Linked DNA regions of Drosophila melanogaster. The protein of the gene in region 2 purifies or fractionates together with the protein of the main gene of each other region. This does not show direct contact. Each region holds a gene or a part of one and is shown on either strand. Other genes may lie near its edges. The genes, in order: IntS1 and IntS6.

Region 1 (3,920 bases), on a different chromosome or scaffold from region 2:
TGGTACTCTGACATGCTGAACAGGAAGTCGATGATGTCGAATTTGTTGGCCTGCACCGCCGGAATATTGGTAGCCTTCATCCCGGAAACTCGCTTTATGACCAGCAGCAGGACATCAAAGGTGTTTGCGATAGAGAAAGGAATATCCTTGGTGATGCCAATCAATATAATTCGCAGCAGGGTCTCCTCGTGAATCGGCGTCTCAGAGATAATCCGCAGGATTGCTCCTCGCTCCGGCTCTGACGGCCACTGATCGCAGCGCGAATACTGCTCCGGACTGTCCAGCAGTAGCAGCTTGTGCAGCGCCTGGTGGTACTCCGCAGCCGGAATCTTGAAGAGCGTGGGTACTGTTTCGTACATCCAGGACACTGTGTCCAACTGAATCTGTGACATCTGATTGTACAGCTTGAGCAGAGCATGGTTGTTTTTGGTGTCCCGATTGGTTTTCAGGGACAAACTGGCTTCCCTAGCTTGTGGCGTGGCCGACAGAAACATGCAGAGACACACAATGTCCACCATGGAGTTGAAAATTCGCTCCTTAAACTCGAACATTTCGATTTGAGGAGTCAGATCCTCCCGCTCACTGAGAAACGTCTTGCAAAACTTGACCAGGTTCACATCGAAGCGCAGCATCCGCACAAGCTCCCGTAAGAAAACGCGCAGGGTGCGCAGGCAATCGTCCCGCTGAAGCAAGAATTCCTGGTAAATCTCAGCCAGAGTGGCAGCTGATTGATCAGCAGATGTTTGAAACATTGTGGCTGGAAAAGTTTCAAATTAAGAATTATGATTTTAATTTAAGAAAAAATTTGTTTCTCTTACCCAGCATCCCCATATTGTTTGGATTCCTGGTGTTGGATAGCTCATTTTGCACGACCAGTTTCATTACGGTACTCAAGATTTCCGGCTGCAGAAAAATCATCTCCTTCAAGCAGGACATGTAGTGGTTTATTAGGGGCTTCGTCTTGAGCCGCATCTTCACCAGCACCAAGAGCACTTCGTTGTCCTGTGTGTTGCGTCCCTTGATGTTGAAGCAGATGTACGAGAGCAATTGCTGGGCGAACTTGACCAGTTTTCCGTTGTGGATCCACAGCTCCAGGCGGGAAATGCTCAGACATCGTACCTCTGCAATGCCAGAAGTGGTGCACAGGAACTTTAGGAAGTTTCTGGTGTAGTTATCCTGCTGCTGTCGCTTGTTGAGCTGATCGCGAATGGCATCGCTGACATGCTTCTGCACCACAGCATCGCTGAATCTTGATTTAGTGGTGCACATAGCGTCGGGAATTGGTTCCGATTCGGTATTTAAGGGACTTGCATCCAAGCTCTGTGTGGAATTGTCCCCGGAATCGTCGTCCACAGTCATGCTGTCTCTGTGTGCTTGACCAGAAGGCAGGGACGAGCTCACATCCCAGCGGAGGAGACTGATGTGGGGCGTGCGGGTTTTAAAGGCTGCGCATATGTTCTTCACGAGCGGGGCACACAGTTCATTGTCCGCCCAGTAGCGCTCGTTAACCGCATCGTCTATGTAAATGCGGAGCAGCACCTCCGGCCACTGGGAAATCTCCATGAAGCCCCGGGTCAGCAGATTGGCGAACAGAATGTGCAGGTTGGTGTTGTACCTCATTTTCACGTTGGCCTCCCGCCGCAGGAAGGAAAGCAGCGCGCAGGCCACTATGTCTGTGCAGAATATACTCGGCTGTACCTTGGCCACGTAGATCAGGGCCAGAAGGGCAATGTTGTCCACCTTGGAGCGCGAGGAGCTCGTCGTTGTCTGCTTTATAACGCCGCATACAAGCCGGCCCACAGTTTCGCTGTCGTTCTGCTCCAAAGCCGCGTATATGGTCTCGACCACGGTATCCAGATCGCAGTCAACGGCGAATTGCTCCCACGTCTCGCACTGACTACTACCGGAGGACATGTCCGGGGCGCCCGCGTCCTTCAGGTTGCCGCGGAACCGCTTGCTCGAGCTGGCCAGTGCGGTGGAGGCTTCACGCTTGCGGTCCGACGACGACATGCCCTTAATGGGCAGGATCTTCGACTTGGAGTCATCGCGTACGCTCTTGCCGAGCGCAAAGAGTTCTCCGCCCAGCGGAACCTTCTTCTGCGATCGGTTGGAGCCGCTTCCTTTCCCGCGATCCATTTTTCTCTGTTCGTGTGTGAAGGTTTTTTCTGTCCATAAAATGGATAATTCAAGCGCGGTGCATTTTATTTTGCTTTGCGATTTGCAGCCGTGCAACAGTTGCAGTGTGACCAGAGTGCAGGCGCTAGGGCTCAATGGCTAACGCATGCAGAAGTCTGTGCAACTGCTCTGATTCGGAACGATGGAAGCTTTGAAACAGGCTTTAATATAAATATTGAACTGTTTTCATATTTTAATTTTTATTTTTTGACAAGTGTGTAACCTAACACCCTTAGGCGCACATTTGCATACATCATTTTTCAGATGGCCCACTCTCATGTGCAGATTGTTCTTAAGAACCCCTCAACGCGGTCACACTAAAATTGTTTACAAAATTGCAAGGAAAATAATAATAATTGTAAATTAAAATCAGCGCACCAGCATGTTTCTGTCCATCGCCCCGCCCCTAATGGACTTCGAGGACGAGCTGCTCTGGATAAACCAGTCGAACAGCGACAAGGTGGAGATCATCTACGACAAGTCCAACTACATTACCCCCAACATAAAGCACCTCATCGAGCAGGCTTTTCTCCAGCCACTCAGCCTCCAGAACCAGCACATCCTCTTCGACGACCTGCTGAAGCAGAACACGGACATTGCGCGCCAATATGGACTGACCCCGGACAAGGTAAGAACCGAAAACATTGCTAGATATATGTCTTATCCATTGCTTCCATCTCAGCTACCTCTGCTCGTGGAAAGCAATCCTCTCATCTCCATTGAGATCTTGCTAAGACTGATGACGACCTCCGACATAACTGAATACTTCAACGTGTTGGTCAACATGGACATAACACTTCACTCCATGGAGGTGGTCAACCGGTAGGAATCCAAACATCGAGTATTGAAGGCTTCTTTAACATGCTCGAGCTCTCATTCCAGACTAACCACCTCCGGACCTTTGCCCACTGAGTTTATTCACCTATACATCAGCAATTGCATCTCGACTTGCGAAACAGTCAAGGACAAGTACATGCAGTCTCGCCTGGTGCGACTCGTTTGCGTATTTCTGCAGTCCTTGATTAGGAACAAGATTGTGAACGTTAGGGTATGCGCTACTACCATTTCCTCGACTGTGCTTAGTGACTATTCTATTGTTATTTTCCAGGAACTATTCATTGAAATCGAAGCCTTCTGCGTGGGTTTCAGCAAAATCAAGGAGGCTGCTACCCTGTACCGGCTTATCAAACACTTGGAAACTGGGGAAAGCGCTCTGTCGTCCAACTCCCTAGCTAAGTAGTGGTAGTGTTTAGCAGATTTTAAGTTTTAAAGTCTAGTTCATAATAAATCGATTAAATACGACAACTCCAGCTGTACATGTAAAACAAATTCGCATTTAATAACTTAAGTATCTAATGTAGAGTTGTGTGTTTTATGAGTGAGTGTTGGCTGCCTCGTTGGTGTGAAAGTAAAGTGGCTCGGCCGAGGGCTTGGGGAAACGGCTCAGGTAGCGTTCCAGTCTTAAGAATTTAATCGAAATCAGGCGCTTGTCGAACCACCAGCCGTTGATCTCTTTGTGAATCGTGCCGGCGTCCTCCTCGCTGGCGCAGCGGATGTACACGCAGCAGGACTGCACGTCCAGCTGGACATCGCAGATCTTGCAGCGCGTGCCGACCTTCTCGATGATCGACTCCACGATGGACTGCTTCAGATTGGCCTGATCCACCTCTGAGGAGTCGAACATGTGCCTAATCTTCAGGCAGGGAGTCGGCGGGTTGGCAATCTTGTTCGAGTTATCGAAGGCG
Region 2 (3,920 bases):
TACCATTACACAAATTAGTGTTTAGTTTCGATATCCTTACACTTTGTTATATTGCGTGATATTCGCTGCCCCTATTAACAAAGTAGATTACTGCTCCCACCATCTCGAGTTGAGGTAAAAGGTAACCGTAAATCGATTACACAATGACCAAGCTCACGATCGTGAGTGTGTGTGCGAGGGAGCACGACCTACGCATCTCTGATGGAGAGCGAGGGAGATGGCCTGCCGAAGAAGGGGCGATGGAGGAGAAAAATGAGAAAGGGGGTTGGGATGTGGTGGATGCCGATGCCAGGGGGAGGAGAAGGAGGAATGCGATTAACCAAAGCCGGGATAACGATAACGATCACTCGGCGATCGCAGGCGTAACCCACATCCTTACACCTTAAATTAGGTCAGCCAGTCTAAATGTGTTTTTACCGGAGGAGCCGTAATTGTCTTGAATTCGAGTGCAAAACATTCAATTTCTATTTGAATAAGAGCGCAAACACATACGCACACTCGCGCACATGGACATGCACACACACATTCGCACACACGCGGCTCGGTGTAGTTGCCAGATACCCCCACTTCGGACAGGTATAACGTTGAGCGGAAATTAAAATATATCTATTAAGTTTCACAAATTTTGTCTTAAGTAAAAACAACACAAAATTCGTATTAAACGAGCGGTGTGTGATTTATCGTTGATCTGGCAACCCTGCTCCGACGTGTTGGAATGGTACGGGTGGCTGCGGGGGACGAGTCGGCCTATTGTGTTTGATGGCAATCCACAAAGCTCACACACACGTTTAAACCAAAACGATATAGGGCCGAGCACTTCAAGTAATCGAGTTTTTTCCGTCTAATTAATCTCGGCGCAGCGATGTTTTGGCCAACAAAATGACACGGCTCTTTGTCGGAATTCACTTATGCAGCAGCGGCAGGGTTGTCAGAGCTCGAAAAACGGTGAAGAAATAAACACACTTTTTCTAGTTGTTTCGCATAAATGGGGGGCGGCAAAGGGGTGCAGGGCCTTTGATTGGTGGTCATTTTTCATTTGGATGACCTTAATTTGCATGTGATAATGCTGATTAGTGCAGCCGCGTTATCGGCACGGTAATCGTTATCGCCAGAGTTGCAAGCGCCCGCCCATCGACAGCCCGCCAAAGCTTTCGAATTTGAAAATGTGTGGACATATTTTAAAAGTGCGATTCTAAGGATCGCATGGTTAATATTTTAGATCTAAATTTTCTATCTCAAAAAAAAAAAAAATGGTACAACATTCATACACAACTACACCGGCAGCATCTTCGAGTGAGAGTTTCCGGCCAAAAAAAAAAAAAAAAAGAATAACTAAAACAAAAACGCACTCACAAGAAGAGGAATGTTTCTCCTCCACCCAATACTCGCAATAATTTTCGATTAGCTTCTATATGCCGCGCCACGATTTTTTATTCTGTTATATTTTTACTTTGTGCCAACAGAAATTTATCACCACCGCGCGAGAGAGCGAGAACACACACGCACACACACAGCCAGAGTGCGCTCTCTTTCGCTCTGCCGCCGAGGTGCATAGGCGAGAACGACCGACAGACGCGACTAGCGGTCGGACCGACCGACCGAACGACCGTCGCTATCGCCGTCCCCCTCTCGCTCGTAGGTTTGTATCGGGGAGTTGTTGCTTACACGCACTCGCACACATACTTTTGCACACTGGCGCCTCGTCACTGTTGTTGCATTGCTGTCGTCCACTCCTGCGCTTCTTCTTCTCTTGTTCGACTCGCTTCTCTTCGGATTTTACTTTGCTGCCGAGCAATAACAACACAACACTACCGTTCTCAAAGTTCGAATGATTTGATGCCGTTCTGTGTTTTTTTGGTGTGGCCGAGAAGCGCCAAATCAGTGGGGCCGTATCGCGGCGATTCGGAAAAGCCGAGCGAAGGGGTCACGATAAATGGATTTGTGGTTGAATTAACTGAGTTTGTAATAATTGATGTCAAATATTTACTTACCTTGTTAGGGGATTTATATGTATGCTGCACATTTAATCTTGAATGCCATTAGTTCATTAGTTTGGTATAATCCATAACATTCACTTAAAATGTTATATCGTTAATCTTTGATCCAAATAAACAGAATCACAACTACAGTATTCCCTCCAATGCTAATAAGTTTATAAGTTTCAGTTACTATTATCCATAAGGTACCATAAACACGATTGCAGCACTTTGGGTGGTGATTAGTACTACTATTACGTTTAAAATAAACTACGCAGGGTTTGACATGCAAGTTGTAAACATTTGACTCGGAGTTCAAGATAACGCTATAAAATTACTTAATCAGGGTCCACTGTACTCTATCGATAGCGATAACTGACCACCTACACAGACATTTATTGTTATCGACCAACGAACACATGTTCACTCCGATTTGGCGCGTAAACAAGTAAATAAATAGTATTATTAAGAATAATGCCGGAGAGCCTGATCGCCGGCATTCCGGTGCACTTTCCGTTCGAGCCGTACCCGGTTCAACGGGCGTACATGGAGAAGGTGATCCATTGTCTCCGCGATGGCACGAATGGAGTCCTGGAATCGCCAACCGGCACGGGCAAGACCCTAAGCTTGCTGTGCTCATCCTTGGCCTGGATCCGCACCAGGCAATCGGAGCACCAAAAGCAGATGGTTAAGATGGAGAAGGCAGATTTTTCGGGTCTTGGAGGCGGAGCACCTGGGGGAGACCTGTCCGAGCTGGCCAAGACCATGGGTCGTGCGAATAACTGGGGCGTGCCCAAGGTCATCTACGCCTCGCGCACCCACTCCCAATTGACGCAGGCGATGCGGGAACTCAAGAGGACAGCGTACGCTAACATGAGATCCGTGGTTCTGGGCTCCCGCGATCAGCTATGCATTCATCCGGAGGTCATGCGGGAGCAGGGCAACTCCAACAAGACCAACATGTGCAAGCTACGGGTGCACTCCAAGACCTGTTCATTTCAAATGCGCGTTGAGTCGCGAAAGGATCATCCCGATTTGCGCGGACCCACCATCATGGACATTGAGGACCTGGTCAAGGTGGGCCAGCGACTCAAGATCTGTCCCTACTTCGCGTCTCGGGAGTTGGTTCCCCAGGCGGATATCACCTTCATGCCCTACAATTATCTACTCGATCCCAAGGCTCGCAAGGCCAACAAAATCGAACTGGGCAACACTATTGTGATCCTGGATGAGGCCCACAACATCGAGAAGATCTGCGAGGAGTCCGCTTCGGTGCAGATTAAGTCCTCTGATGTGGCCATGGCCATCGAGGACGTCACGCATATCATGCAAGTCTTTGCGAGCGGCGAGTCGCAGGATATGGCTGGAGATGAGCCAAAGGACTTCACACTGGACGACCTTACACTGCTCAAGGAGATGCTGCTCGAGCTCGAAAAGGCCATCGATGCCATCGTTGTGGACAACGCCGTCGATGGAACTACCTTTCCCGCCTCCATGATGTACGAACTGCTTGGCAAGGCGAATGTAAGATGCACTAAATCTTATCGGAAATGTTTTTAAAAGAATGCCTATTTAAAAATGTAACTTCCTTTATTGTAGTTCACCTACGGCAACGTTGCAACGATAGTATCCCTGCTGGACAAACTGGTGCAATACCTCCTAGTGGCCTCCCAGCAGATGAGCATCCGCAAGGGCGGCACCTTCACGTTGCTTAGCGATCTACTGACCATTGTGTTTGCCAACAAGGAGGATGTGATGAGCAAGGTGTACGCAAGCTTCAAAGTGCATGTCCTGGTGGAGGAGTCCAAGCAGGGACACGGTAAGCAGCAGGGTGCTAAACAGCAGGGCGGTTGGCTTGGCAAGGGAACGATTGCAGCAGCGACTGGCTTAAGCAAGGTCGCAAAAATCATTAACTTCTGGTGCTTCAATCCTGGCTTCGGAATG

Evidence for each region.
Region 1: the proteins of IntS6 (region 2) and IntS1 purify together in Drosophila melanogaster (affinity purification with mass spectrometry; 2 studies listed by BioGRID, with this or other methods). This does not show direct contact.

Annotation. Positions count from the first base shown.
Region 1 is NT_033778.4:24,036,278-24,040,197, reverse strand, and holds the start of IntS1 (integrator 1), read right to left. Parts: upstream 2,256-3,920; 5' UTR 2,137-2,255; coding exon 819-2,136; intron 758-818; coding exon 1-757. Other genes in the region: Not11 (CCR4-NOT transcription complex subunit 11), read left to right, coding at 2,558-2,803, 2,858-2,997, 3,058-3,415; MAN1, read right to left, coding at 3,548-3,920. UniProt on the Drosophila melanogaster protein: Component of the integrator complex, a multiprotein complex that terminates RNA polymerase II (Pol II) transcription in the promoter-proximal region of genes.
Region 2 is NC_004354.4:5,745,419-5,749,338, forward strand, and holds the start of IntS6 (integrator 6), read right to left. Parts: upstream 1,837-3,920; 5' UTR 1,354-1,836; intron 958-1,353; exon of another isoform or gene 785-957; intron 1-784. Other genes in the region: Rtel1 (regulator of telomere elongation helicase 1), read left to right, coding at 2,451-3,500, 3,576-3,920. UniProt on the Drosophila melanogaster protein: Component of the integrator complex, a multiprotein complex that terminates RNA polymerase II (Pol II) transcription in the promoter-proximal region of genes.